Xenopus tropicalis: one gene and its partners. The protein of the gene in region 5 purifies or fractionates together with the protein of the main gene of each other region. This does not show direct contact. Links are inferred from orthologs where the notes say so. Each region holds a gene or a part of one and is shown on either strand. Other genes may lie near its edges. The genes, in order: uncharacterized protein LOC496835, polr3gl, polr2e, polr3h, polr3d, gpn3 and polr3b.

Evidence for each region.
Region 1: the proteins of polr3d (region 5) and uncharacterized protein LOC496835 purify together in Homo sapiens (affinity purification with mass spectrometry; 6 studies listed by BioGRID and IntAct, counting the BioPlex papers as one, with this or other methods). This does not show direct contact. The link is inferred for Xenopus tropicalis from reciprocal best matches to the Homo sapiens genes POLR3D and POLR1D.
Region 2: the proteins of polr3d (region 5) and polr3gl purify together in Homo sapiens (co-immunoprecipitation; 4 studies listed by BioGRID and IntAct, counting the BioPlex papers as one, with this or other methods). This does not show direct contact. The link is inferred for Xenopus tropicalis from reciprocal best matches to the Homo sapiens genes POLR3D and POLR3GL.
Region 3: the proteins of polr3d (region 5) and polr2e purify together in Homo sapiens (affinity purification with mass spectrometry; 6 studies listed by BioGRID and IntAct, counting the BioPlex papers as one, with this or other methods). This does not show direct contact. The link is inferred for Xenopus tropicalis from reciprocal best matches to the Homo sapiens genes POLR3D and POLR2E.
Region 4: the proteins of polr3d (region 5) and polr3h purify together in Homo sapiens (affinity purification with mass spectrometry; 6 studies listed by BioGRID and IntAct, counting the BioPlex papers as one, with this or other methods). This does not show direct contact. The link is inferred for Xenopus tropicalis from reciprocal best matches to the Homo sapiens genes POLR3D and POLR3H.
Region 6: the proteins of polr3d (region 5) and gpn3 purify together in Homo sapiens (affinity purification with mass spectrometry; 3 studies listed by BioGRID and IntAct, counting the BioPlex papers as one, with this or other methods). This does not show direct contact. The link is inferred for Xenopus tropicalis from reciprocal best matches to the Homo sapiens genes POLR3D and GPN3.
Region 7: the proteins of polr3d (region 5) and polr3b purify together in Homo sapiens (affinity purification with mass spectrometry; 8 studies listed by BioGRID and IntAct, counting the BioPlex papers as one, with this or other methods). This does not show direct contact. The link is inferred for Xenopus tropicalis from reciprocal best matches to the Homo sapiens genes POLR3D and POLR3B.

The regions. Positions count from the first base shown.
Region 1 is NC_030678.2:155,277,462-155,282,232, forward strand, and holds the start of uncharacterized protein LOC496835, read right to left. Parts: upstream 3,044-4,771; 5' UTR 3,038-3,043; coding exon 3,015-3,037; intron 1,663-3,014; coding exon 1,588-1,662; intron 1-1,587.
Region 2 is NC_030684.2:128,432,399-128,436,538, reverse strand, and holds part of polr3gl (DNA-directed RNA polymerase III subunit RPC7-like), read right to left. Parts: intron 2,960-4,140; 5' UTR 2,923-2,959; coding exon 2,803-2,922; intron 1,161-2,802; coding exon 1,031-1,160; intron 1-1,030. UniProt on the Homo sapiens protein: DNA-dependent RNA polymerase catalyzes the transcription of DNA into RNA using the four ribonucleoside triphosphates as substrates. Specific peripheric component of RNA polymerase III which synthesizes small RNAs, such as 5S rRNA and tRNAs.
Region 3 is NC_030677.2:100,193,881-100,197,061, forward strand, and holds part of polr2e (DNA-directed RNA polymerases I, II, and III subunit RPABC1), read right to left. Parts: intron 1,814-3,181; coding exon 1,755-1,813; intron 1,024-1,754; coding exon 945-1,023; intron 1-944. UniProt on the Homo sapiens protein: DNA-dependent RNA polymerase catalyzes the transcription of DNA into RNA using the four ribonucleoside triphosphates as substrates.
Region 4 is NC_030680.2:120,319,570-120,322,376, reverse strand, and holds part of polr3h (DNA-directed RNA polymerase III subunit RPC8), read right to left. Parts: intron 1,725-2,807; coding exon 1,628-1,724; intron 997-1,627; coding exon 910-996; intron 440-909; coding exon 376-439; intron 242-375; coding exon 31-241; intron 1-30.
Region 5 is NC_030679.2:129,689,420-129,694,207, reverse strand, and holds the start of polr3d (DNA-directed RNA polymerase III subunit RPC4), read right to left. Parts: upstream 3,003-4,788; 5' UTR 2,942-3,002; intron 1,892-2,941; 5' UTR 1,891-1,891; coding exon 1,741-1,890; intron 1-1,740. UniProt on the Homo sapiens protein: DNA-dependent RNA polymerase catalyzes the transcription of DNA into RNA using the four ribonucleoside triphosphates as substrates.
Region 6 is NC_030677.2:162,794,959-162,799,692, reverse strand, and holds the start of gpn3 (GPN-loop GTPase 3), read right to left. Parts: upstream 3,162-4,734; 5' UTR 3,065-3,161; coding exon 3,017-3,064; intron 2,301-3,016; coding exon 2,192-2,300; intron 1,915-2,191; coding exon 1,747-1,914; intron 1,576-1,746; coding exon 1,451-1,575; intron 518-1,450; coding exon 402-517; intron 204-401; coding exon 107-203; intron 1-106. Other genes in the region: arpc3 (actin-related protein 2/3 complex subunit 3), read left to right, coding at 3,398-3,403. UniProt on the Homo sapiens protein: Small GTPase required for proper localization of RNA polymerase II (RNAPII). May act at an RNAP assembly step prior to nuclear import.
Region 7 is NC_030679.2:15,932,350-15,936,489, reverse strand, and holds part of polr3b (DNA-directed RNA polymerase III subunit RPC2), read left to right. Parts: intron 1-3,569; coding exon 3,570-3,699; 3' UTR 3,700-4,140. UniProt on the Homo sapiens protein: Catalytic core component of RNA polymerase III (Pol III), a DNA-dependent RNA polymerase which synthesizes small non-coding RNAs using the four ribonucleoside triphosphates as substrates.

The DNA of each region.
Region 1 (4,771 bases), on a different chromosome or scaffold from region 5:
TATACCCAGGCACTATACACAGGCACTATACCCAGGCACTATACACAGGTACTATACACCATTTTTTTTTTTTTTTGTCATTGTTTTGTTCATTTATAGTAAGTTACAGTGGGGCCAATGTTGTGTATCAGTGCCAGTGTTATAGTGCCAGGGCCTGAATATCTGCCATCAGTACCCACTGCATCTCCCTGTATATAATGTGCTGGGTTTGTAAATACGGACTGCGTCTCACTGTATATAATGGGGAGTCAGTACCCACTGCCTTTCTTGCTATAAAACTAACATAAACACATCTAAAGGGGTGGTTCACTTTTAAGTTAACCTTTAGTATGTTATAAAATGGCCTATTCCTAGCAACTTTGCAATTGGTCTTTCTAATTAATTTTTTTGAATAATTTGCCTTTCTCTTCTGCCTCTATACAGATTTCAAATGGGGGCCAAAAAATATTGCTCTGTGAGGCTACAATTTTATTATTATTATAATTTTGTATTACTTATTTTTCTAAGTAGGCCCCTTAACTATTCATATTCCCATCTCTTGTTTAAACCACTACCTGGTTGCTAGGGTAAATAAGACCCTAGCAACCAGATAGCTGCTGAAATACCAAATGGAGAGCTGCTGAACAAAAAGCTAAATAACTGAAAAACCATTAAAAATAAAAGTGAATTGAATGCGAACTACCCCTTTAAGCTAACTGATCACAAACACAAATGTTTGCAGATCCCGCGTGCGCGTATGAATACTTTTACATCCTAAACATTTTAGGGTAAAAAAAAAAAAGCACCCCCACCCGCACTTTTGTACAGTATCCCTGGTAGTCAGTGGGAACGGCAAGAGGTAGTTGGGAGGTTAACTTTTTACGCCAGCAGCGAATCCACTAAGTGTCACATTAGCTGTAGGTCGGACTGTGTATGGGCCATCTTTAGCCTCCCCTAGTATCATCCTGCAAAAAAAAAATATATATTTTTAAATATATATATATATATATATTTGTCTGTTGCAGGATGATGCTAGCTTACTTGCCCCCCCTTGGAAAATTTTCTGCGGACGCCCATGTTTGTAAGGATTATATGGTAGGGGGAAAAATTTTTTGCTGCGCACGCTGCAATTTTTCCCCCTTTCTCTTCCTAATTAGCATATTTCGGGTTTGGGATTCCTAGATTATAATCACTTACCTATGACTGGCTTGGGGTATTATCCTTATTAGCGCCATGCAGTCATCTTATTGCTGTTCTCTGAATCTTTGCAGTGGCCCTACTCTGTGTTTAAGTGCAAGAGAAGCCTACCTGTCATTTCACATTGAATTACACATTTTACTATGCTGCACATAGGCACAGGACAGGCCTCACAAGAATAGTACACAGGGCCAGTGTATTTTAAGTGAAAATAATAATGATGATTATAATAACTGTATGAGGGGTTTGCACCTCCCTCCATTGACTACCCATTTCCTTTTTTAAAGGAAGAGAACAGTTTTTTCAAGTTTTATAAACACACCAGTATTTTTAATATGAACACAGTTACTAACCATACAATAGTGTTACACGCACATATATCATTAAAAATTGTATAAAGAAACCACTTACCAGCCCATTGGTCCCATAGTTTCAGCTCGGATCTTGCCACGTTTTGCTTCTTTGAGAAGCTCTTCTACAGCTTTCCTGCATCGGCATAAAAGAGCAAGAAATTAGCATTAACAATATCGGCTGTACAGCCCAACATATATAAGTATTGCTACATAAATAAAAATCTACACACATGTTTTGGGGGGAAAGTTCTTTTACACCAATTTAAAGAGGACAAAAAATGTATCAAACGCATGAAATAAGGCCTATTAACATTATTAAACATTAGTATACTTTACGTTTTTTTTTTAAAAATTCCATTATTTCAACAAATCTGCCTCCAACTAGCAGTCTCTTCTTTTGGTCTCCAGGCAAGTACACTGAATATGTATTAATATGGCAACGGCACCAAAAACTGCATGACCAAACTGCTTTTATTGGTTTACTATTTTATTATAAGTGGGCTGAGAGTGTTCTAAGCAAAATCTATGGGACCTACAAATCCTGAACCATGCACAGTGCTTCCCAGAGACATGTAAATGTGCACAATCCTAATTCCATCTATGGCTGCTTGGTATTATACCAACCCAGCCGGTCAAAATAATGCTTGATGTCAATGTTATTAATAGGGAAGAAAGATAATTACATAGAAAGGCCAGTATTTTTTTTTTTTTTTACAAAAAAGTGAAAACCAAAATCACATCTCTAATTGCTGCTTTATTGATGTAGTTTAACTTTAACTCCCACTGCAACAACCAACCCTGGAAGCTGTAATTCCACAATACAAAAAGGGCTATTGGTTGCCTTTCAGTGATATACATGAACCACAGTCTGGCCAGCTGGCTTTCAGTACCAGTAAGAGCTCTCTATAGCCTACGGATCAACACTATGGGGCAGATTTACTAATCCACGAACGGTCCGAAGGCATCCGCATGCGTTTTTTTCGCAATGATCGGTATTTTTGCGACTTTTTCGTATATTTTCTGCAACTTTTTCGTCGCCGTCGCGAAAAAATCGGATTGGTTTTTCCGCCGTTTACAATCGCTCAATACGAAAAAATTGCAACGGCGACGAAATAGTTGCGCAAAATACGATAATGTCGTGTCGGCGACGAAAAAGTCGCGACAAATACGAAAAAGTTGCGGCGGCGACGAAAAGACGGCAAAATTTTCTTTCCAATCTGAATTTTTGCCATTCCGGTTTCGGATTCGTGGATTAGTAAATCTCCCCCTATGTATTCCTAACAAGGACCCAAAAGTAACTGCACCCAATCAGTCCCCACTTCCCCAGCAACAGCTGTCCCATAACAATTCATGTATATATTATTATTTATCCTTCACCCACTACCCAAGCAGTCTCTGCACTATAAAGCGTTCACTGGGGTAAAACATAGACAGCTCACAAGCAGCAGCATGCAATTTTATTTCTATTTCGCATATACTTCGTACCGTTCCAATTCGTCTTCCTGCATTTCTGCTCTGCAGCAAAGGAACCCGGAAATACACTGGCGAGATGGCAACAACGCCAAGCAGCGCAGCGACTTCCGGAATGGGCGGGGCCAGAGGCGTCACTGAGCTGCGGAGTGCCTCCCTAGTGCTGAAGGGAATATATATATATATAGTTTTGGGCAGCGCTGTGAGATCACATGGATAGTAAAATATTGATTAACACTACGACGACTGTCATCAATGGTTAAAAAAAGTTGTGGAATGATTGTGCTAAGTTTACCCAAACTCTGGCGCAAAACCATAGGGGGTTTTGGGGGGGGCAAGTTGGAGAACACAGCAAAGTGGTTCTAGTGTAGGGATACCCTAACTTTTTTACCTGTTAGTAACTTTAAAATGAGTTGGGGAACAAAACAAACTTGAAAAACCTCAGAGATTGTGCCAAATACTGGCGTATTGAGAAAACAATTTCCACTCTGCATTCCTCCCTGTCACTAATGCCTGTAGGTTGGCAGCGCGGTTAAAGGAACAGTAACGCCAAAAATGAAAGTGTATTAAAGTATTTAAAATATAATGTACTGTTGCCCTGCACAGGTAAAGTTGTGTGTTTGCTACAGTAACTCTACTATAATTTATATATAATAAGCTGCTGTGTAGCCATGGGGGCAGCCATTCAACCTTGAAAAAGGAGAAAAGGCACAGGTTACATAGCAGATAACAGATAAGCTCTGTAGAATATAATGGGGTTTTATCTGTTATCTGCTATGTGCCTGTGCCTTTTCTCCTTTGAATGGCTGCCCCCATGGCTACACAGCACCTTTGTTTATATAAACTATAGACTTTCTGAGGCAAACACACCAGCTGTACCAGTGCAGGGCAACAGTTCATTATATTGTAATTATTTTTATACACTTTCATTTTTTGCCTCCAAGCCAGGAATTCAAAAATAAGTGCCTGCATTAAGGCCTCAGGGAGTAACATTAAATGGGATCACTGTGCTAGTCCCTTACTTGCTACACAGGAATGGTGTTTCTCTTTTTCAAAAAGTGCAGCAGCCCAGGCAGTCGGACTGGCCCCCCAGGATACCAGGAAAACTCCCGGTGGGCCCAGGTGTCGGTGGGCCCTCCTGCTCCTGACCATTTGGCCTGCTTCATGGCCATTCCCTATTTCTGAATGGGAACAGAGAGGAGAAATAGTGTAAATAAAAAAGACTAGGAGAATAAAGAGGGTGGGTGAGAAAAAATAGTTCGGAGAGTGGGCCTATAGTCTAAGGCAGGGATCCCCAACCTTTTTTACTTGTGAGCCACACTCCGATGAAGTGGATTAAAATGATGCCTCTGTATTTTCAAAACTAGTCTCTATGCTACAAATGTAATAACAGGCACCTACTTTGAGGCCACTGGGAGCAACATCAGAGATGGTTGGGAGCAACATGTTGCTCACGAGCCACTGGTTGGGGATCACTGGTCTAAGGTTTTCCGGTGGGCCCCTGGGGTCCCAGTCCAACACTGAGTCCAGGTTACTGTTTGAGGCAGGGGGTGGAGGAGGCATGTCTGTGCATTCAGAAGCCTGACTGGGATGGGGGCCTCCAATGTGAGCCCTGGACACCACACTCTGACACTGGTTTCAGGCACCAACTGTATGTGTCAGGCTTTCTTGTTCTGCCCTACGCAATGAGACCCTTGCCTCAGGCAGCACTGATGCAAAGACAACCCTGGCAATGTTAATTTGTGCCCTCCAAACATTTGGAAAACAGAAAG
Region 2 (4,140 bases), on a different chromosome or scaffold from region 5:
AAATAAAGATATACATACATACATCTATTGGCAGTAAAATGCCTTTTCTTCTCCTTTAAGTACCCGGGAAGGAAAAAGGGCTCTACTACTGTATATGCTAAAAAACTTCTGTAACCACAGAGGGTGACAGAGTAAAGACAACCCCCTTTTTGTGGTTTTAAGGAAAATCTAAACTCAGCTATCCCTGAGTTTTGTATCATAATTACGATAAACTTAATCACAACACTCATTCTGAAATTGAAATAAAGTGCCGGTGGGTATCACAATCTATGTGTGTTATAACTGATAAATATCTATAATGAATAACGTGACCAGTGCTTTTTGCTTTAAATTACCATAAAGTGACCGTGTCATAAAAACCTGTGCATTCTGCACTGCATTCAGCCATGTAGCATCAGCTATGACAAATGTAACCTTATTTTTGCAGCATAATTTCCAACGACCCCTGAGGTTTCCTTCTTTACAGTATCCAACAGCACACTGAGCATGTGCAGTGCCACTGACACTCAAAAGATGGCCTAACAAGACCCCAAGAATGGGAGGTTGCTGTATACAAATTCGAAAGCATGGATCATTGCAGTTATAGGGCTGCTGAACCAAAGGTATTTTACTGTATTGTTAGTTAATGTAAATGTATTGCTAGCCATGTTCTTGTTTACCCTTCTATTTTCCTACATGTTTAAGGATAGCATGTTCAGCTTTCAAGTGCTGCCAGTTTACGCCAACTCCTCACCTTAACCAATGGGGAGCAACTGTGAAGTGAAGCAACCTAGGGTGCAAGTTCCCAGAGTGAGCGAGACGACATGGGCATGCACATAACATAACTGGGGGTAGTGTGCCTGGGGAGTCACAGACATGCATGAGAAGTAGACCGGGGAGATTAAGTAAAACTGCATGGGGGGCTGGTAAAAAATCAGGCATTTGCATTAAAAACCACACGCCCATATGATTCTATTGCTTTACTTGCCCTTGCAACAATAAATGATATAGTGCTTTTTAGGGCAACCAAATAGAGCCAAGCTAAACACACCTTTCTTGGGAGCAGCGGGCTTGATGAAGTACGGGAGAGTCTTCATGGCTCCTCGGAGTTCTTGTTTCAACGCCAGCATATATTCCACCTCCTCCCCTGTCTGCAGGGGTACTGGTTTGTATTCCAGGTTCTGAACAAAACAACAAAGAGAGTAGGATGATATACACAGTGTATAGCTCTTAATGGAGAAGAAAAGATGAAATCACAGAGGGGGTGCCAAATGTTAGGCACCCCCCAGTAATTATAATTACTTACCTGATACCCCACGCTGGTGCTCCTGTTAGCAGAAAACTGCAGCAGCCTGGGGTACTTCAGACCTAGCACCACTGCATTATCTACATCTTGTTTCTTCTTCACTTCAGTAAAGTGAAAAGCCAAGTTTGCTTTTTCACACACATGCACACATGCACCCTGGGTGATTGAGGAATGAAGAAGTGAAAGAAGAGGATTGTTCTGTGGTGCTTGCTCAGAGTACCCCAGGGCAGAGCAGTTTTATACTAAATGGACCACCGGCCCAGAGTATCAGGTAAGTCATTATAATCACTGAAGGGAGTGCCCCCCCCCCCCCAGTAATTTAACCATTCCTTGTCCTTTAAAAAGAAACTGCAGGGAATGTTTAACAAAACTGTTGTACATAGAGTTGCTGCATGAATTTCTTTTGAGTTCCGCAACCTAACATGTTTCCCAGCTGTAAACAACACACCCTACTGTCAGTCACTGACAGGTAAAGTCCAGTCTGATTCCAGCATGAGTATGCAATGCACTACTGACACACAGCATGGCTGGGTTTTCTTTCAAGTGAAAAAAGTTAGGAAAGTAAGGAAAAAATAATAAAACCTATTAGTACAAAAAAATGAATAAAGACCTAATACTATCCAGGTAAGTAGCATTTAAACCCATGACAAATGAAAAATAAGCCTATGTATATTCTATAAACATAACAGTATAACTAAAAGGCCATTATACCTTAGGGAAGGCCACATGTATCTCACTTGTAAAGGGCCCATAGTAGCAAACAGGTGGATGGCAGGCACAGGGGTGGGCAACTGGGCACTGTAATGAAAAATGCAGACCCTGATCCTGCCACCCAACAGGCAAAAAGTCAGAAAGCAATAGAAGGCAGTGCACAATGGGCAGACAGGGAAAACAGATACTAAAATGCTAAGATATGGATCAGGAGCCTGTAGTTCACTGCTTCTTGCTGAAATTCAGTCTGCTGACTCCAATAACACATATCAGCAGTCAAAAATATGGGGAGTTGTGGTTTAGTTACAATATGTTCCCCACTCATGCCTATTTTGGTACATTTCTATACATAGCATGTACACTTTAAAGGAAAGTAAGTAAAAAATCTATTCTACCCTGCTCCAATAATTGCCCTATCCTGCACACCATTTATTATTTTGAATGCTTTATTAGAAAATTTCTGCTAAAACCCGGCTTCCGGTCATTTGAAATAAGGCGATACGGCGATGTAGAAGCAGAATCCACTACGCGACGATCAATCCTAGCCTTCCTTCTGTATAGGAAGGAGTCAGGCAAGGATCGATCAAAGGAGTCAGGCTGTGATCGATCAATTCTGCTTCTGCATCGCCTTATTTCAAATGACCGGAAGCCAGGTTTTAGCAGGTATTTTCTAATAAAGCATTCAAAATAATAAACGGTGTGCAGGATAGGGCAATTATTGGAGCAGGGTAGAATAGATTTTTTTACTTAAAAATTTTTAGTGTTACTTTTCCTTTAATACCAAAGCTGTATAGAGCTTAACTTACCGGGAACAACGGGGGAGGTTGGAGAGTGGGTGGCGGCAGTGCTTCCCCTCTGGTAATTCCAACAGCTTCTACATTAAAGGTCAGTTGGCCCCGACCGCTACCTCTGCCTTTTCCAGCCATCTTGTGCTATGCCCAAGAAACAGTAGAATAACCTAGCCTGGGTATAAGAGATATCAACATCACCTGACATTTTGTATATGTTGTTGTATATTTTGTTTTTGTATATATCTCATGACTTCCTTCATGTAGTGTATAGCAATCCAACAATGTTCCACCATCCAGTAAAAAGGCTTCCCAGAAGAATATGGGTTGGTATAACAGATAACATATTCATATTAATACCCTTGGCTAAAGATCTCAAAGGGCTATTCCACCAAACCCACAGACTTGTATTTCTACCCACTTGGACCCACTTCTCACTATAAAACTGGAAGCTTTATCATCAGACCAAAAATGTGGTCGTCATAAACTCAGAAGTAAACTCATCCAGGAGCAAGGGGAGGTGGCAAGTAAGGAAAAGGAACCCAGCAAGGCAGCGACCCATTGCCACATCTGCTTTTCTTGGCTGCAACTGGCCAAATACCTGTGTTTCTTCAGGTAAGATGGACTATACTTTTGGTTTCATTAAAATAATGTGGAACTATGATTAAGTGTGTTTTTGGGCACAATATGTGTAAGGTTGTAGAGATAATGTTATAAACAGAGATTTTGACTACTATTTTGTGCCCTTTGTGGATAAATTGGATTACCCATCACCTATTTTTGCTTTGTTATGGTCTTTCTGCTTCCCTGAGCTAAAGGTCAGTAGCACCCAGACTGCTTTCTTGAATTGGTATGTCTTCTACATAGATTTGTGCTTTGGTGCCCTTCTGTTTTGTTTTGTTTTAATTAACAGAGACAGTGGACAGGTAGATGTCCAGATACTTGTGGTCATCCAACACTGGGTTTAACTTTTAGTGCTCATCATCTATTTTTACTTTGTTATGATAGCCTGTCGGCTTCCCTGAGCTAAGGACCTGGAGCAGCAGGACCACTTCTTTTTTTGTTTTGTTTAAATTCATTAAATAATGGACAGGTAGGTGTCCAGATACTTTTGGTAATATAAGGTATCACTTGGGCTAACGTTCCCTTTAAAGGGGTTGTTTGCCTTCAATGTCTAATTTTTAGTAAACCACCAACAATGCTTGCAGCATTTTACATAAAAAAAGTACAAAGGCCACTGAAAAAGCTACTTTTTATACCTTTAAATCAGTCCTCATTCTGTCTCTCTGATCAGTTTTCTGAAGGGATGGGAGTGGCCTATTTAGAACCTGACACACTGAGAACTTTCCTATATCA
Region 3 (3,181 bases), on a different chromosome or scaffold from region 5:
ATGTCAACATGGGGGTATATTTACCTTATGTAGAAAAGGTGCATAAACAATATCTTAACTTAGAGGGAAAAAAAGAAACCATGATCTCTGGGACCAGTTCCTTAGCTGCCTTAGGTTTACAGTGTTATACAACTCCCACCCTCACCTTGATCCACTGTGATGTGATAGATTCTATGACATGAAGCCCCTCTGCTTTCCACAATCTCTATACCAACCATTATGGAAAGCAAAGGGATTTTAAGTTTAGAACTAACAATAGAACATGGTGAGTAAGGGACTGCATTACACTATTACCCTAAGGAGGTCAGGAACTGGTGCCAACAATCACAGATATTGTGGCTTTTTTCAGACTGATGAATTTGTCTGTCTGGAAAAAAATATTTATTGAAAGATGATTCCCATACAATTCCATAAATATATTAGAAAAGCCGATGGTTTAAAATATCCTGTTGATACTAGAGAAGGGAGCTCAGTGCCATGGGAGACTTATCCACAGGTGACTAATGACCTCAAAGTGCCTTTCCACGGGCACTAAAGTAAATTGCTGGTGGGAAGGGCATAAGTGTTGTTTTGTTTTCCAAAGTCGCAAGAGGAAACTTTATGCAACTTGAGAAAATAAAGCAGCACGTATGCCTTCCCACTAGATATTAGTCCCCTGCATTGCAGTGAACCAGGGCTGACTAATCTTCCAGTTAGTCATAGCCCTTTATAACCTATTAAGGAATAAATTATTTCATACAAAGCAATGTTTATAAGGATCAAAACAATGCAATGATGAAGCTGTATTTTTATTTTCATTAGACATACAGATATCTCTCAAGTCCCAACACTAAAACACTGAAAAAAGTTACAGGAAAGCAAAATTATAGTCTCTATAAAATTATAATGAACAAAAAAATAGAATAAGAAAAGAAATAAAAGGCCATAGACACTCTCTCTCTTACCTGACCACGCTTTAACCCAAAGTATCTTGCCACAGGGTCACCAGCCTGAATACGGGGAAGCTGAGACTCCCGAAGTTTGCTGTAGATGTTATTAAGGCCAAATGATATTAAAGGTATGGGATCAGTTATCCGGAAACCCGTTATCCAGAAAGCTCTGAATTACGGAAAGCCTGTCTCCCATAGACTCCATTTTAACGAAATAATTCAGATTTTTAAATGCATTTTCTTTTTCTCTGTAATAATAAAACAGTACCTTGTATTTGATCCCAACTAAGATACAATTAACCCTTATTGGAGGCAAAACAATTTTATTGGGTTTAATTAATGTTTTCTTGTTTTTTAGTAGACTTAAGGTATGGAGATCCAATTTACATAAAGACCCCTTATCCAGAATATCCTTGGTCCCGAGCATTCTGGATAACGGGTCCCATACCTCTACTTAAGTAAAATAATATAGTATATTTAAAAAATACATTATTGCTAAAAAAAAACCATGCTGGTCTAACTAGAGAATTTCTTGGCAAGTCCCATACTGTGTGTTTAAAGAGATGAATTAAGTGATACTCCTCTTTAAAACCTGAAAAAACACCTATTTCAAATTAACGTAAGGCACTCTATTGCTTTGTCCAACAGTGAACAGCATTAGAACAGTGTGACTTCTGAACTGTTACTCACTCCTATCATCCATGGGGGATATACAGAACCTATAGAAAGATCATATTAGAACAATTATCTCTGATCCAAGTTCCGTCATGTGTGTGTGCAAAAGCCGATCACTCTCCAAGAAAAGCAGGTTAATAAAAAGGATACTATCGAGCTAGCAATTCCGTCACCTCATCCTTTGTCATTACCACGTGTTCTGGAACCAACTGGAAATAAAAGAGAAATGATGTACAAAAGGAAAGCAAAGACTGATCTCTCGCTCTTATACAACCACATAACAAAATCTTCACCCGAAAGGTAGAACAAAAACATACATATGTCCCCAAAATGGGGGCCTTCTAGCAGAGGCATGGGGCACTGAATGGCAGTTAAGGTGTGAATTGGGGAGGATGCTCTTCTTGAAACCTCACTGGCTATAAAAGATATTCTTGGAACTATAGCTGATATATCTTTAGCTATGTTGTGAGCTAAAAATAAAATCACATTCAAAAATATTGGGAATAGTATTAATATGCAATTTTAACAATAGCCTGGTTTGCATCTTATTTACATACAGATTGTATGGTACTGTATATTTGCAGATATATTTAAACAGCAGGAAGGTTAAGATTTCAATTTAAGATAACAAATACAAATTAGTTTTTAGTATGTTAGATTTTTTTTAGGTAAACTTCCCTATACATGGAGAAATCTTTACCACTTGAGAACAGGACTACATTGCAAATTTGCAAGGCGGCATCACTGAATGCATCTAAATGGTTTCTGATGTACTGCCAATACAAGTGGCACATTTGGAGGGACAGAAGAACCACGTGTCATATTGTAAGTGTGCCACAAGTAACAAAAAAGGCCCTCTTTCATCCTTTCTACCCAGGAAGATGATTGTATATCCCACAACAAAACTGCACAGTAAATTACCTATGCTGGCATAGTTTTTTTGTTATGTACAGCCTTTGAGCACACTAAATGTGTTATATCCCTTTTCGAAATTTACATTTTTCACCTACGTCTGAACTATGTTTGACCCTACTGGCTTTCTTTTAAAAGGTGATTATAGTATCATAGGAGAGGAATGCTAAAGCAGGTAATTGGGAAAGCTGTGGTTATACAAATGTAAAACATAACACCACGTGCATAGCACAAGTATTATCAACTATAACTATTCTTTTACAGTGTGCAAAGGAAACACAAAAAAAAAAAAAAATTAAAATGTAGTGGGCTTTTATTATATTCTGAATTACACATCCTGCCTATCATTTGCTATTAGAGGTACCGAACTACAAATTCATCCAGCAATCGAGCTACAAATGCAACATATTGGGAGTTTTAGTTTACAAAGTTATGGTCAAATGTAAAATCCCTGAGCTATCAGAAATAAACAGTACAGAACTTAATAAAGATGAACTTCTAAACTATATGGACTCACAAAAAAAAAAAAAAAAAGATTTTTGTGGGAAGGTGATACTGTTTATTGGTTAATTAATTTTAAACGGTATCATGTTACCACCTAAAATCTTTTTTCTGAAACTATGGCTAACACATTACAATACTCTGCTGCTACTCATCAAGAAGGC
Region 4 (2,807 bases), on a different chromosome or scaffold from region 5:
AAACAGATAGGAACCAACTGAATTTCTTACCACCAATGTGTAGGGTGCCTCTTTGCGAGGAGTCTCCTCTGCAACCGCCGTTGACGAGGAGGCTTCTGCTGAGCTGGGTCCGGTTGGAGATGTGTCTATAAAGGTCTCATCCACCATTCGGAATCTGATATCCTCACCCACATCCATGTACAGGTCATGAGCACCCTCCTCTGTCTCATATTCCCATACCCATACCTGTTCGGCCTCATCACTGAGAGCAAAAATTGTCAAGGAAATGTTGATAGGAAATATACACACTTACTAAACAGACTAAAGGAATCTCACAGCTACTACTTCTGCTACATGAGGGGCCATAACAGTTGTCCCTGTTACCACAAAAGATACAATTTTGCTGGTTGCTGCAAGGACTCCGGAGGTATAACAATATCATCAAAGAAGCCTAGGGAAACTGTGGGAGGAATTAAGAATCATGTATTATCTGCAAGATTAAGGAGCTGAACAAGACATGTCTAGCAGAATCAAACAATCCCATTACTTCCTACCAACAATAGATCTAACATTTTAGGGTAATAGCACATGGGGAGATTTGTTGACCATGTTTAAATCTTGGCTACTGCAGAAGTTTAAACTGCGGGACACAAATCTCCCTGTCTGCTATTAAACTTAAAGGAAAAGACCACCTTTACATTAATATTAAGTATGATATCATAATATGTTTTGGGCAGGGCCCTCTTTTGCTTCTGTAGCAGTCATTGGCTGTATTTTTGTATTTATTGTACAGCGCTGTGCAATATGTTGGCGCTTTATAAATACATCACAGTGAAATACTGAGACAATTACAGAAGTACAGTACACTAATGCCGATCTAAGCAAATAGGGTATGAGATCTGAGGATTCCAAACAATTTTACATACTCACCATGCACACCTTCTGGGCTACAACCTTTAATCTTCCCCATGAGGATCTCATCAAGGAAAGGACGAAATACCACATACCGGAACTGCACTAAAAGTGACACGCCGATTAAAGGATAGTGGCACAAAAATTATTTAAAGCACTATGCCAAAGCTTGTGCTCTTAAGGTACCATAAACATGTAAACATATGGCTAAAAAACTTCAGAACTAGTGAAGGTTTGAACTAAAATGTATGTGATTCTGCTACAGAAAGTCATATTGTTCTCACTGAGCGAGGAATAGGACTGAAGTAAGACACAAGGTGAAAAAATATTGTAAGGAAAGATTTGCTAGGTTGGTAACACAGGAAATAGTTGTAAAGTCAAAGGTGTTGGGAGTTAGAAAGGTTAAATAAAAAGAGCAGAAGCAAAAAACAGGAAATAGGGTAAACTGTCACTCTGGTGCCAAAGTGGTTAAATATTAAAGGAAAAGTTAAATCACTGGGGGATGCCAAATGTTATGCACCATTTATCTTTTGGCCAGGGCAAGATTAACCATTTGCCTAAACTGTAATGTTTATAGTTAAGTCTTTTTTTAAGCAACTTTTGCCTTAAAAAAAAAATACCACTCTGCTGCAACTCCCAGCATCCTAGAGGCTGCCAATAGTTATTATTGAAACGCTGGGAGTTCTAGGTCAGGTCTATCTAAAGGGCTACAGGATAGACTTTCAGAGAGTGTTACCTTTTGTATGTGATGCACCATCTCCAGGAAATATATAGGAGTCATCCATTTTTGTAATGTCAAAAAGGCAGATACAGAGACCCACGTTATATACAACCTAAGCACAAAGAAGCAGAATGTGATTTGATTTTATGGAATGGAAGAAAGAGGGCGTTAATGGGATTTAAATGGAGGTGGCAATAAGTTTGTTCCACGTTTGCTGTGTTGGTTAATTTACACTGTGTTTGCACATATAATCCCTCCTTCCTATTATGTTAAATGTTAAAGAGTTCTACCCAAAATAACACATACACAATGTACATAATGCATCATCAAGAAAAATATTACAACCCAATCCAATACTACACAGTACTGATCAGCTTTGAATATCAAATCTTCTAATTCTTTCCCATAGTAAGAGAGAGAGAACCAATATTAGGCTGACCATACGGCGCAATACTAGTCAAGTAAATCTACCATTCACATTAGAGCTGGATACTTTCCTATTTCTGCCTACATTAAATCTGGGCATGCACAAATGGAAACTTGGTGCCAAAGGCAACTTGTGTAGTAGCAGGTCTAAATACTTAATATTCAGAAATTCTAGCTAGAAGTATATTGTATTGAGACTATATTGATAGACGTGCACAATGGAACATGAAAAGGCATTACTTGTTTACTATGTGAATGTTAAAGATACAAACATAAATGTGTGCATATACATACTATAAAATGTAGATTATATAGGCAAATTACATTGCTTTTAAGCTGTACCAAAGTATATGTATATACATGACATGAATAAGTCTTGGAAGTGCCATGCAAAACAGGCTCTATCATTTTTTTAAAATTCATATTTACCCAAGAATCATGCATTTGAAACCAAATGCAGACAGAGGAGGGACAAACTAACATCACTTGCATTTTGCTAATTTATAATCAAGTATTGCGTTTAATAAACTGAGCATATGCTGGTCATATGTGTTTTTTTATGGGGCCCATGTGCAATCTGCACGGCATGCCCTCTACATCACCTCGAGCCTATAACGCTGTTACACGTGCCACCTTTGTTCACTAACAATACCGGTTTAAGGGTCGAGGCAGGCATGAACGGCAGTTGAAGGCAGGGCAATAAGTTAACAGGAAGGGTAAATAGGCAGGCTGGGCAAGAAAATGGCCATGGCAGAGGTGGGCCTCTGCT
Region 5 (4,788 bases):
TGATAGAGATGTTTGGCAAGAACACTAAAGGCTCATTTACAAAGCCCCCTTGCAGTGTGCAAAAAAAAAAAGGTCTGCAATCGCCCATTTTTTGCACTTTGCCCACTGTGTAGTTTAAAAAGGGTGGCTGGAGGGGCACACAGGCGTCCTTTCCTCCCGCCCCCTATCTTGTACTTAATACTGAGGTATTGGCAAGGTAGTAGCAGCACGATGTTCAGCCCAAAGTGGGGCCCATCCTGAGGCTTTGCTTGTCACTCAGCATCAAATATTTTTTTTTATCCGGCACAGAGTGCAGGGGGGCGCAAGAGACTTCTCAAATGTGCTTTTGTGCACCTCATTGCTCTTACCCCTCCATGACTGAATATGACCCGTAAAACACCTATGATATAAATGAATCTTCACTGAGAGTCCTACAGCCAAAAAAACTTAAAGGGCACCTATCACACCAATATTGTTTCCTCCACCAGAGGTGTGGCCTAATAGAGCCTGCATTCCAGTTGAGAGAAACAAGAGTTTAAAAAAAAAAAAAAAAAAAAAAAACTTCCAGCGCCGGGCTACCCTCACTGGGAGAGAGCTCCCAGTACGATCGGCTATGTTGGTCGGCGCACATGCGCGGATATCCCCGCTTACTTACTATGCACGTGTCGTAGGAGTGGTGGATGTAAATCACCCTCCTAAGTTACACACATGCGCATAATGAGTTATGTTGTCAAGTTGCGGCTCCAACATGGCTGGCCACAACGGGGGCTCCCTCCCAGCGCTGTCAGGGGCAGTTTTTAAAAGAAAGGCTATTGTTTCCCCTATTTGGTGGGGGGTGCCCTTTAAGAGCTGTGATAGACAGGGAGATTATTTGCCAAGCGACTAATCTCCCTGTCTGTCACAGCCCTAATAACCGCACCAGGGCAGTATTAAGTTAGGGTGACACATGAAGCTACTACTAGCAGCTACTTGTCATGGCTACTAAAATAGTCAATGCTGATCATTTACTGATAATTGTCTTTTTTTTTTTTTTTTTAATTCAGGCAAGTTTATTGAGAAGATTTTACATCAGTTTCAGCATATATACATCACATTTATGAGGCAGAGTTCCACAATGTAGTTTTAGTATATGACATGTTTTGCAGTAACAAAAGTTGCAACAGCATTTTAAATTACATTATAACCTTATCTTTTGTATGCACTTTCCTTTCCCTTGTCATTGCTGACTGTTTCCCTCGGATGTTGGCACATATTACAGTTACAAACATACTATCATAAAATGCTTTGAGAAAATACCGCCATAGCTCACTTAAGTGGATTTTTCTAGCCATTTTCCCCATATTTTTTCGTGTTTTTTGGGGGCTCCTCTAGTTTTATATATTAGACTTTCCATTGCACATAGGTGTTTGACTTCAGAGAGCCAATGTGAATATTTGGGGGGTGTTGAGTCTTTCCATTTCCTTGTTATTGCTTTTTTTTGCTAAAAATAAACATTCTCTGGTGACTGATAATTGTCTCTACATGTGTTTTAGCAGAGGCAATTCTCAGTACTGTCTATGGCAGGGCATTTTCTGGGGTTTAGTAGCAATGAAAAGTAGCTGCTTCTAAGTATATTCGTGTGTCTTCGCCCTTAGTGACAGTACGGCCTGGTTGAGATACATGTGATATCCAACATACATATATGTGCAGATATTAGAACTGGCAGTAGATAGTCACATTTGACCAGCCACTTCTCTGTAAGAACAGCCAATGGAAACCCACCTTTCTGACTCCGCCAAGCGTAAGATCTCGGGAGCGGATGGAAGGAAGGCGACCTGGGGTAAGAGGAGTAGAAGATCTGCGTCCCACAAGCCCCCTGCCCATTGGAGTACGCGGCCCCCCACCATCGTTGCTTGGATTACCGTCAGACATTCTGTTGGGGAGAATTAATACATGAGAATGGGGATAGGAACGTTTCCTACACCTACGTGGTGGTGTTTATGTTACTGCTTGCTTTCTATAAAACACTGTCTATATATTTATATACAAAACTGGCCACCTGTAGTGGAGGCTAAGCCCCAGGGCCACCATGAGGGATTTTAGGGCAGTGACACACAGGGAGATTAGTCACAGTGTGACAAATCTTCGTCGTCGCGGGCGACTAAACTCCCTGCAATGCCATCCCACCAGCTATAATGTAAATCGCCGGTGAGATGGCATACGCAGCACCGCGATTTGCCAAAGTTCCCTTGCAAGGAAACTTCGCGCTACTTCGGCAAATCGCGGTGGCGCATATGCCATCCCACCGCCGATTTACATTCTAGCTGGTGGGATGGGATTGCGGGGAGAAAGAATGGTCTTGAGGCGACTAATCTCCCTGTGTGCATACGCAGCACCGCTATTTGCCGAAGTTGCCTTGAGAGGAAACTTCGGGCGACTTTGGCAAATCGCGGGGCTGCATATGCCATCCCACCGCTGATTTACATTCTAGCGGGATGGTCGGACGGGATTAGTCGCCCACAACAACGAAGATTGGTTGCGTGGAGACTAATCTCCCCGTGTGTCACTGCCCTTAGGGTGAAGACACACGGAGCTACTAGTAGCAGCTACTTTTTCACGGCTACTAAATACCAGAAAATCCCCGCCATAGACAATACTGAGAATTGCCTCTGCCAAAACACACCAAGAGACAATTATCAGTAAATGATCAGCATTGTCTGTTTCTGTAGCCACAACAAGTAGCTGTTACTAGTAGCTCTGTGTGTCTTCAGCCTTAAAAGGGCCCGCTGTGCTTACCTGGATTAGTCAGGTCCCCTGCTGTCAGTGAGCTGTAGACTTCAGAAGGGAGCTGGGGAGTCTGCTTGTTCTTTCCCCGCTGCAAATACCGTAGCTCCAATGCTCCTCTCCCAAAACTGCAGCTCACTGACAGCAGAGGGCCCGGCTGATCCAAGAAAGTGCATAGTTCTCAACACCATTGCTTTACCTTACTTACACCTCCCAGAGCTGTTACTTGCTTCCGCCTTTCCACATGTCTCACACGAAATCCCGACGCCGCAAGTCTCATCACGCGAGAGTGTGACGTCACGCCTACATATAAGTGCAGGGACACGGGACGTAGCCGCCTTGTGGGAGTGGCGAGCGGACTGAGCGGAGCCCTCAAGTTGTTGGAGAGTGCTGCTGAGTCTGCTCGAACTAAATAGGAAAAAAATTTGTGTGCAAAACATGGGTGGGTAAAATGATAGGATCTTTTTAGCAACTTTGTAATTTGAGGGTAGCTGTATTTTTTTTTCTAAAAGTTTCAGGGTTCCAAAGGGCGTCAGTAAAGATCCCTGTTTGGCAGATGAGTTTGCCCACACTGACTGCCACCCACAGTTACCCAAAATCAGTTATTTTATGTTCTGATCCAGAGTTTTATATGAAGACTGGAATGATACTTTTCCATCATTTAGGGACAACATATGGGCTAATATAAAAGTATCTTGCGGGTATAATGAGTAGTCTGTAGTTTTAGGGTGCTTATTGATGGTAGTGTCCAAGAATCTGCTCACAGCAGAGCCTCTTCTCCCAATTTGGCTAAAAAAGTTTTTTGTTTTTTTAAAGAATCAGGTTTGGGGTTTTTTTTTTTTGGAGAATTATGTAAATGTTTACTCTGTCATACATTTTGGGTCAAAAATAATATGATTATTATTATTATTAAAGGAGACATATCCTATATAAATTATGAATGTACCAGTGAATTATACTCCTCTAGATATAGAAGGAATGTGCTTAAAAAAGTTGTGTTTCAGACTGATTTATTGAGAAATTCCCCCAAAACCCCACTAGCCCCGCCCATCTGTTCCACTTCCTGCTGGCTGAATTCTCTGGATGAGCTGGGGAGCCGGCGGCCCTCCGTACACTGCACTGTAGGATAGGAACCAATCAGCAGCTAGGCTGACCTGATAGGGAACTGAAGCCTGTCTGCGCTTGTGTGAGTGCAGGGCTGTGATTGGCTCTCCCCCTCCTACTGTGCTTCTGGCAGGGACCGTTAGGACTCGCCCACTCTTTATTTCAAACTTGGTCAGAGAAGAGACAGGATCTATAGGGAGCTCCAACAAAGGGGCCATTTTTACAGATAGGATTAATTTTAAACACAATGGGAAACCAGCACCGAATATTATTCATAATTGCCTACAAAATTAGGGTTTTTCCCATTTATCCAATATGTCTCCTTTAAATAGTGCAAAATCCAAATATTTGATCCCTACTCCAAATACCTTGTGTCCCAGGTCCAATATTAGTTGTGTGTAACTCGTCTGTCTTTAGACCTAACATAAGGTGAAAATGGAAAAAAAAAAAGCTTGATATTGTTTACAAAAGTACATGCTCGTTATATTTTACTACCACTCTTTTTTGTAATTATCACACCAAGTTATGTTGCTAAATTATAACACCCAAATCCACTTGAGGTCTATGAGCACCCAATGTGACCACTTCTGTGAATTTGCAGATTTTCCGTCTCCCTTCACTTTTATAAATCAGACATTATCAAAAAACATTTTTGATCAATGGATATCCAGTTAGGAAGCTTGATAGTAAACCAGCAACTTCTCAGTTTTCCTTCTCCACTTATATTTACTCAGGAATGCTAACAAATGCACGCTACGGGGGGGGAGATTTACAAATCCACGAATCCGAATCCCAAAAGGGAAAAAATTGTATTGGAAATGAAAATTTTGCGACTTTTTCATCGGCGTCGAAATTTTTCGTATTTGTCGCCACTTTATTGTATTTTGCGCGACTTTTGCGTCGCCGGTGAGATTTTTCCGTATTGAGCGATAGTAGACGGCG
Region 6 (4,734 bases), on a different chromosome or scaffold from region 5:
ATGGACACTGGGTAATAAGCAGTGTGTAATCTACAGACATCATCTCATATACAGTTGCAAGTGGAATATTATTTATGGAGTGGATTTGGAAGTTAAAGTAACTCACAAGTCCACAAAGTGCCTCTGTCAGTTTCTTGAACTTGTTACTTTTAAATCGATTTGATGTATCTTCAATCATGGAATACATGTCTGGATCTAAAAACCTAAAAATAGAAAGAAAGAGTTAACCACAAACATGCAGATCTCTCGACACTTTTGCAGTTTTTTTTTTTCAATCTATATTTTTTAAGTCTTGATATCATGCATGGTAACATAACTGTCAATAATGAACAGTTTTAATGACACTGTAAAGCCATTTCCACAAATCTGACCCAAAAACTCATAATAAAAATTAAACTTACTTTTCAATTTCTTTTTTGGCTTTTTTCCCTAATAAATCCATCTTTGTCATTATATTACATTGCGGTATCTCTAAGGAAACCATAGCACTGAGAGCAGCCAAAACCCCAGAAAGAAACTGAAACAAAACACACAAGATGCACAATGATTTTTTATTATCACATAATCACTACAGCCTTTTCTGGTAGGTTAGTTTATAGATCATGCTGGCTGCTAGTTTAGTTTCCCATTTCTAAGACACAAGTGATAATTGTCTTCATATAAATCAAATAATTTTTTCTGTGTTTTAATTTTTTTTCTTTGTCTAGCAATGCTGACTGGAGAAGTTTGCACTGTTTATAAGCTTGAGGAAGCATTTTCTCAGAATTTATTTATTAGGCTTCTTGCAACAAGTTGAAAGAACATATTCACCAGTTAAACCCTGTGTGGATCTAGAAGCACACAGCAGCCTTATGATTCCTTTTATCTTCCATATTAACACCTCTGTGGGTAATATATTTTTAAGCCATGTGTACACCTATGTTTAGGTTACCAAACTATTCAGCAAGGGGCCAAATTGATTTGTTTCTTTTGCCTTGATATAAACCATTACAGAATTGCAAAATGGCTTGAAAGCCATTACAAAGATTGGTACCTCTACAAATAACAATACTACCAAGGGACCTGCTAACTGCCCTATGTGAATCAACTTAAATAACACTTCTGACTAAATTATGAGCAAGGAAGCCCCCATCTGCTAATCTGCTGGACAACAAAAGGTTTTACAAGTATGCATGCAGGGGCACTGCTGCTATTAAGCGTGTTAAGAAACTGGCCTCAGGCACAGTGCCGGCAAGTTACCAAGGGCAGCAAAAAGCACTACTGGTAACTTCAAGAGCCGAAATCCCAATTTTTAAATTGGAATTTAGGCTCTTTTATTGAGGAGGGTGCTATTGCACTCTCTGCACTAGCAAAAGGCCCCCCCTGACACGAAAAAGCAACTTGGCAGCTAGAACCCCTGCGGCACCGCTGTATGCATGTAATGTGAAAACATTTCACTCTGCTACTGTACCTTGAATGATTCCACCATGAACTGAGAGTCAACAAGAAAAACCCCACAGACCCTAAATTCCCATTGCTGGAGCTGCTCCACGAGGTACTTCATGACAGGCAGATGAGTATACAGCTCAATTTGACCTAAGAAGCAAAAGCAAAATTTTCAAAACCAGGTCTAGCACAGCAAATGTACATATGTTTTTTTTTTTTTATTTAAGTTAACAAAAGAAAATATCCATTAAATTCAACCCTTCAGAGCATCTGCCAGCATCACTAACTCATTCCAAAACAACTGTTTGCTAAAGTTCTCACCTGGACAGTCAAAAAGTATGTAATCATCTTCTGTGTGTCCAAGGCAACTCTCCAGCCAGTCAAAATTGTTGGCAAAATACTCCATACAATATACAAGGCCCCCATTTGGGCCAAATCGCAATGAACGATCCTCCATCACATCATCCACTTCAATCAGTTCCCGGATATCTTAAAAAAACAAAAACAAAAGATAATTATTTTCACTGTTAGACTAGAGAAAATGCACTTTCATCCGAAGCAATACAAATAGTTATTTCACAGGGGACTGGTTAGACTGTAGAATGCTCTACTTGGTGAAGCAGAGATAACTTTATCAAACAGGACTATGAAACATTTTTATTGGCACACCTGTGTTACATTATTCTATTTGTAATATTTAAGCAAACAGCATTTAATAGTTATTTCTCCACTAAGATAATCTGACATATGTAAGGGAGTGGTTTACCAGCCAATACAGGATAATCAAAATGCTCAGCTGCAGGATCCAGATTAACCACTTGGACAGATCGGTTCAAACTCCCACAGTGCTGCACCATGGTGGAACAATAAGTGCTCTGAAATACAAAGATTAATAATCACCATCTGCCAAAAAGATGTAATTAAAAAAAAATTCTACTGTTGTAATATATTAGACACACATAGGTCTATACATATGCCAAGGCTCCTTTGTGGCATTCTAGACTTGCTCATATGCAATACATAAAATTAGAAAACCTTATGTGATACTGACACCAAAAAAAAAAACCTTACCTATTTTTTATGTACATAAAAACTTACCTATAGGTCATGTTGGTCATATTTTACTGATAGGCTGCTTTTGTAAGGAATTGCTACTTTAAGGGCCTAAACCTGACTATTTTGCCAACCTGACTGTCCCTTTTCAACCTATTGGAATTTACAGTTACAGACTATTGCTGCACAAATATGGCAGCCTCCTTCTAGAGGTACTGGTAACGTAAAAGCATTTTAAAAAGAAAGTATACAGCTCATGCAAAGACAATGTTATAAGCTATTAAAAACAGTTTAATTGTAGGTGTCAGTATATAGTCAGTATATAGTTAGTACTGCGCACATGCCTAGGCATCCTACTGTAATTATTATTTTACTTTCTTTTAATAGCAAACAAGAGAGGTCTCTTCTTCAGGCTCCAGGAAAAACTGGAAAAGGGATCCCGAACTGCAGAAATCTTACACTGTAATACTGCTCTATAGTTACCCATTAAAGGTATGATACAAATCCACAATTTTGAGAGACCAAACCCAGAAATTACCTTTCCGCTGCCGGCGGGCCCCATAACGAGCTGTGCATATCGCGGCATTCTCCTTGCATCAGACTTGAAAACTGCCCAGGTGATCCAATAAGGAGCAAGAACACCTAGTTCCCCACAGTCCCTTTGCAATAAGACATGCCGGAAGCGCCTCCTTGCCTGTAATGCTGCCTAGTAGTCGCGCTGCTGTACTTCCGGGACGCTTTGCTACGGACGCCTCACCTTCCCTGCGATTAAGCTGGCGCCCTCTAGCGGCCATGAGACGCACTAGCTGTGCTAATGTTATAACTTCCTGCTTGCGAAGCCTTGGGTGGGACAGCGGAAGTACAGATACTACAACGTTTGGTCTCCCGGATTCCTTTCAAATATTCAGGGGTGTTAAAGATGCCGGTGAGTTTTTTCTTTTTCCTGCGTATTCTATGCTGCGTTGGAGCAGCCGGATCTCGGGGCAGGAGGCGAACTGGGGTAGAGCAGGGCTTGCCCGCCGGTACCTGCATTACTTAGAGCCAATGGCCATAATGATAAGATTCGGTGTTGCCAATGTCTGGGGCCCAGTGCAGGTACGCTTCCGCGTTAGCATTGCCGGCTGCACCGCGGCCCCCAGAATCCCTACAGCTAAGGGCTCATTGTATGTTCTGTATGTTGCCTTTTAGTCTTATGAACACACCAGCGATTGACTGTATGTGATCTCTCTGGCGCTGGTAAGGCAGAACGCCCCCACTACCGTGCCAGTGCCAGTGCCCACGTATATATATTGAAGGAATTGCCTAGAGATGAAATGAGGGTGGATCGCTGGGCTTTTTCTTTCTACCTGTTTCATGTGATCTTGCGCAAGGATCTCTCATTGCTTCCCCAGCGCTCCTATCATATGTAACACGGTCACAGAACTGCCATACGGTATTATTTTATTTGTGATGGGATAGGGGTGGGCTACAGCTAGTCAGGCCACTACTTGCCCTGCAGATTGTGCAAAAAGGGGAAGAGTGTTAGTCATGCAGGAAGTGGCTGGGGCCGACACACGGGAGGCATTTGCTTAGCTGTCAGCTACATTGCTGCAACCCAACTCATACACTTTAGCAGCCATACACAGTGTTTCATTTTCAGATTGCGAAACGTTCTATAATTAGGTAAATGCATTTTCTTTTATCCTCAGACATAAATATAGCAAGGCCTTCTAGAAAATATGTATATGATGTACTGTTCCATAAATATTATATGACTGCTTAAAAGTTGTGTGTAGATACATGAAAATGAGCTCCTAATTGCATCCAAATCCCCTGGTTTGATGTTAAATACTCTTTAAAAATTCAGATCTGTATAACCCAACTTGCAGACAAATTACTAAGCTACTGCCAAGATCGGTGTCAGTTTTTGGAACATGGCTTCTGTTGTAGAGTTTGGGATGTATTCAGAATAACCAGTAAGGGCTAAAAGGATCCAAAAGCCATCCCTTGTGGAATAAACATGATACACTTCCCCAATTGAGTTTTTAAGACTTCTTTAATGGAAAACTATACCTTCAGAACAAATACTTCACAAACAGATAATTTACTTACTTATAAGTAAATATTACCATCTAACATATTCTAGGGCAGTGCTGTCCAACTTCTGTTGTACCGAGGGCCGGAATTTTTCTTGCCTACATGGTGGAGGGCCGATAATGGAAGACACTTTTGACCACTCCCCTTTTTTAAACCACACCCACTTCAAACTACACCCAT
Region 7 (4,140 bases), about 110 Mb from region 5:
GAGCTCAAACCCTGGCTCAAACCATGGGTGGCAGATATAGCCTCCAAAAACCGTCTGCTTAATCTTCCATTTGAGGGAGAAAAACTTTTTGGATCCCAGCTGGAACTTCTAGTGGAAAAGAAGTCTGATGATAAAGTGAGAAGCTTACCTCAAGACAAGAAATTATACCCAATCTAGAGGAAGATCTTCAAGAGGAAGGGGCCGTCCAAATTTCAATCAAAAACCTTTCTCAGCATGACGCCTTGCCAGTTGGAGGAAGATTGAAGGGGTTCGTTCAGGAATGGGAAAAAATCACCTCAGACAAATGGGTGTTACAAACAATAAGCCTAGGATATTCAATAGAATTCTATGGTCTTCCTCCAACAAGATTTATAGAAACACGCTTACCAAAACAAAGGGTTGCAAAACAAGCCATGGAATTAGCAATCCAAGAATTCAAAGAAATGAAAGTATTGATTCAGGTACCCCAAAAAGAAAAATTCAGGGGGGTCTACTCCCCAATCTTCCTTGTACCAAAACCAAACGGGAAATACAGAACCATCATAGATCTAAGATATTTAAATCAATTTATATTCAAGAAGAAGTTCAAAATGGAATCAATAAGATCCACCCTGTTAGCGCTTCGCGAAGGGGATGTGATGTGTACTATAGATCTAAAAGACGCCTACCTTCATATTCCCATAAGGGAATGTCACCATAAATTCTTAAGAGTAGCCATAAGGGGACCTGCAGGAACAGAACACCTTCAATTCGCAGCCCTGCCGTTTGGAATATCGAGTGCACCAAGAGTCTTTACAAAGGTAATAATAGTAGTCGCAGCGTACTTAAGAACTCAAGGTATTGCTATTATTCCTTATCTGGACGATTGTCTACTAAAAGCAGAAACCGATTTAGGGTTACAAAGGAACCTATTCAAAGCAATAGAGGTTTTCCAGTCATTGGGCTGGTTAATAAATTGGGAAAAATCCAATCTAAATCCTACAAAAGAGATAAAGTTTTTGGGAATGATCTGGAACACAGAAGAAGGAAGAATTTTCCTTCCTCCAGGAAAAAGGGAAAAAATCAGAGACAGAGTGCGCAAGTTTCAAAACAAAAAATTTTCTTCAATAAAGCAGGGTTTAGAAATTTTGGGTCTTTTTTCAGCAGTATTAGAAGCAGTTCCATGGGGTCGTGCCCATATGAAGGACCTGCAAAAATATATGAACTCAGTTTGGGATCATCAGAAGGCATCACTCAGAAAGAAACTCTATGTTCCACCGGAAATAAAGAAATCTCTTACTTGGTGGTTACACCCAGGGAACCTTTCAAAAGGTTCATCCCTATTTCCTATTCCTCCCTTAGTCATCACAACAGACGCAAGTGGCAAAGGTTGGGGAGCACATTTAGGAAACCTGGTAGAGCAAGGTATCTGGGAAAAAGGTATTGGTCATCAGGCAGCAAACTCCTTAGAGTTGGAAGCAGTATGGAGAGCTCTGCTTGCTTTCAAAACTATTGTAAAAGACCAAAATGTTCTAATACATACAGACAATGTGGCAACAGCCTACTATATAAATCACCAAGGAGGTTCCAGAAGCAAAGATCTGGGAATGAGAATAAAAAAGATCATGGGCTGGGGAGAAAAAAATCTAAAAAGTATTCTAGCCCGCCATATCTCTGGGCACAGCAATATCAGAGCAGACTTTTTAAGTCGCAGGTTGATACTCCCCGGGGAGTGGAGTCTAGATCCAGAAACATTTCTTCAGATTTGCAAGGTCTGGGGTTCTCCAGAAATAGACCTCATGGCCTCAAAGTACAATGCAAAGCATCAAAGATATTTTTCCCTTACAGCAGGCCAAGGCGAGGAAGCAGTGGATGCTCTAGCCCAATCATGGGATTTCAGCCTAGCATATGTCTTTCCGCCTATCCCTATGTTAGCAAGAGTGATCAAGAAAATTGCACTTTGCTCAACAGAAGTGATTCTAATAGCTCCTGCCTGGCCCAGAAGGAGTTGGTACTCCAGTCTCCTCCAACTTTCTGTCAGTCCTCCTTGGCTCCTTCCAGTGAAGGAAAATCTCCTACACCAGGGACCAATTTTGCATCCAAACCCTGCAGCTCTTCAGCTCACAGCATGGAGACTGAAAGGGATGTTATGAAAGCACAAGGGATATCTTCACCAGTCATTGAAGTTCTGTTACAGAGCAGGAAAGAAATTACAAATAAAATTTATCAAAGAATTTGGTCTTGTTTCAGGAAGTGGTGCTCAAATAAGAAACTAACTCCAGAAGATGTTCCAGTGTCAATCATATTAGATTTTCTACATGATGGATTTAAGAAGAAATTAGCTCCAAATACACTTAAGGTACACATTGCGGCCTTATCAGCTTTCAAGAACATATCCTTGGCGGAGCATCCATTGATCAAAAGATTTGTCAGGGCTGTTCAAAATATTAGACCTAAGACAAATAACCTAACTCCAAATTGGGACTTAGACATTGTGTTAAGAGCCTTACAAAATGTTCCTTTTGAACCCTTGGAAGAAGTTTCCCTGTATCATCTGTCCATTAAAACAGTATTTTTAGTGGCAGTTTGTTCAGCCAGACGCGTAGGAGAACTGCAAGCTTTATCATGTAAAAATTCGTGTCTACAAGTTTTTCCAGACAGGATCATTCTCAAAGCAGATCCTTGGTTCAGACCTAAAGTCTCATCTAATTTTCATAGAAACTTTGAAGTCATTCTTCCAGCTTTTTTTGCAGAACCAAGAAATAAAGTGGAGGAAAAGCTACACTTACTGGATGCCAAAAGATGTGTTTTGTTCTATTTAAACAAGGTAAAACCTTTTCGTATATCTCATAACCTTTTCGTTTCCTTTTGGGGAAAGAACAAGGGGAAGCGTGCCTCAAAAACTTCCATTTCCAGATGGATAAAACAGGCAATTTCCTTAGCCTATTCTGCTTCAGGAAAATCAATACCTCCAAACCTCAAGGCACATTCTACCAGAGCAGTGTCAGCCTCACAGGCAGAAGTTGGAGGTGTGTCAGTGGACCAGATATGTAGAACAGCTTCGTGGGCAAGTTTCAGAACATTTGCAGAGCATTACCGACTGAACGTAGGTACCCCTGGGGAAGTGGCGTTCGCAAATACGGTACTTTATTCAAATTGTAAAAAAAAAACCCCTTGACGTACTGCTACTCAACTCTCTCTAGTAAGTGCTGCCAAGGGACGTGAGGGAAATAACGGATTTATACTTGCGTAAATTCCTTTTCCCTCAGTCCCGAAGGCAGCACAATATCCCTCCCTTACAGTAAATATTCTATCAGCATTGTGTATGTGTCTTATTGCTTGAGAAAATCACTGAGGGCTAGAGGGAAGCAGAGGGACTTATAGGAGATGAGGGGGTGGAGTAATTAATTGGGGGGTGTGGTGTTTTCCTACCAGGTGGAAGTCATCTCTCTAGTAAGTGCTGCCTTCGGGACTGAGGGAAAAGGAATTTAAGTAAGTATAAATCCGTTATTTAGCCTTGATTTTTTGTTGAGCTTTAGTTTCCCTTTAAGAAAGAACCCTTGCTAATGGTTGTTTGTCCTTGTGTCTAGGTGCCATTTCTGCAAGTCGTCTTGTCATGTCTCCTCCTTGAGGATCCCCTACGCCTGCAAGTTGCTCTTCCAAGAGCTCCAGTCAATGAATATTATCCCCAGACTCAAACTGGCCAAGTATAATGAATAAACTGACTAGAGATGCACCAAATCCAGGATTCAGCTTGGGATTTGGCCAAGATGCAGCCTTTTCCAGCATGATTTGGATCCAGCCGAACCACTCCGAATCCTTAAAATCACTTGACTTTTTGTAACATAAACACAGTTCTCTTTAACCCCTCCGTAGCCTAATTTGCACATACAAATTAGGATTCGGATTCAGTTCAGTATTTGGCAAAATTTTTCACAAAAGATTCGGGGTTCGCCCAAAATAGTGGATTTGGTGCATCCCTAAAACTGACCCCCATCTGCCCCACAGAGGCTGTACATACAGCAAAGACTCTGCTTTGTTGGCATGTAAATAATATGATTTATTTAACCAGTACAAAGGACTTGCGGGTTGTGGCCAGCGGCCATTTTTCTTTATAGTGTTTTAAAGGAAACCCTATAAAGGCAAAAAGCTTGATGCTAG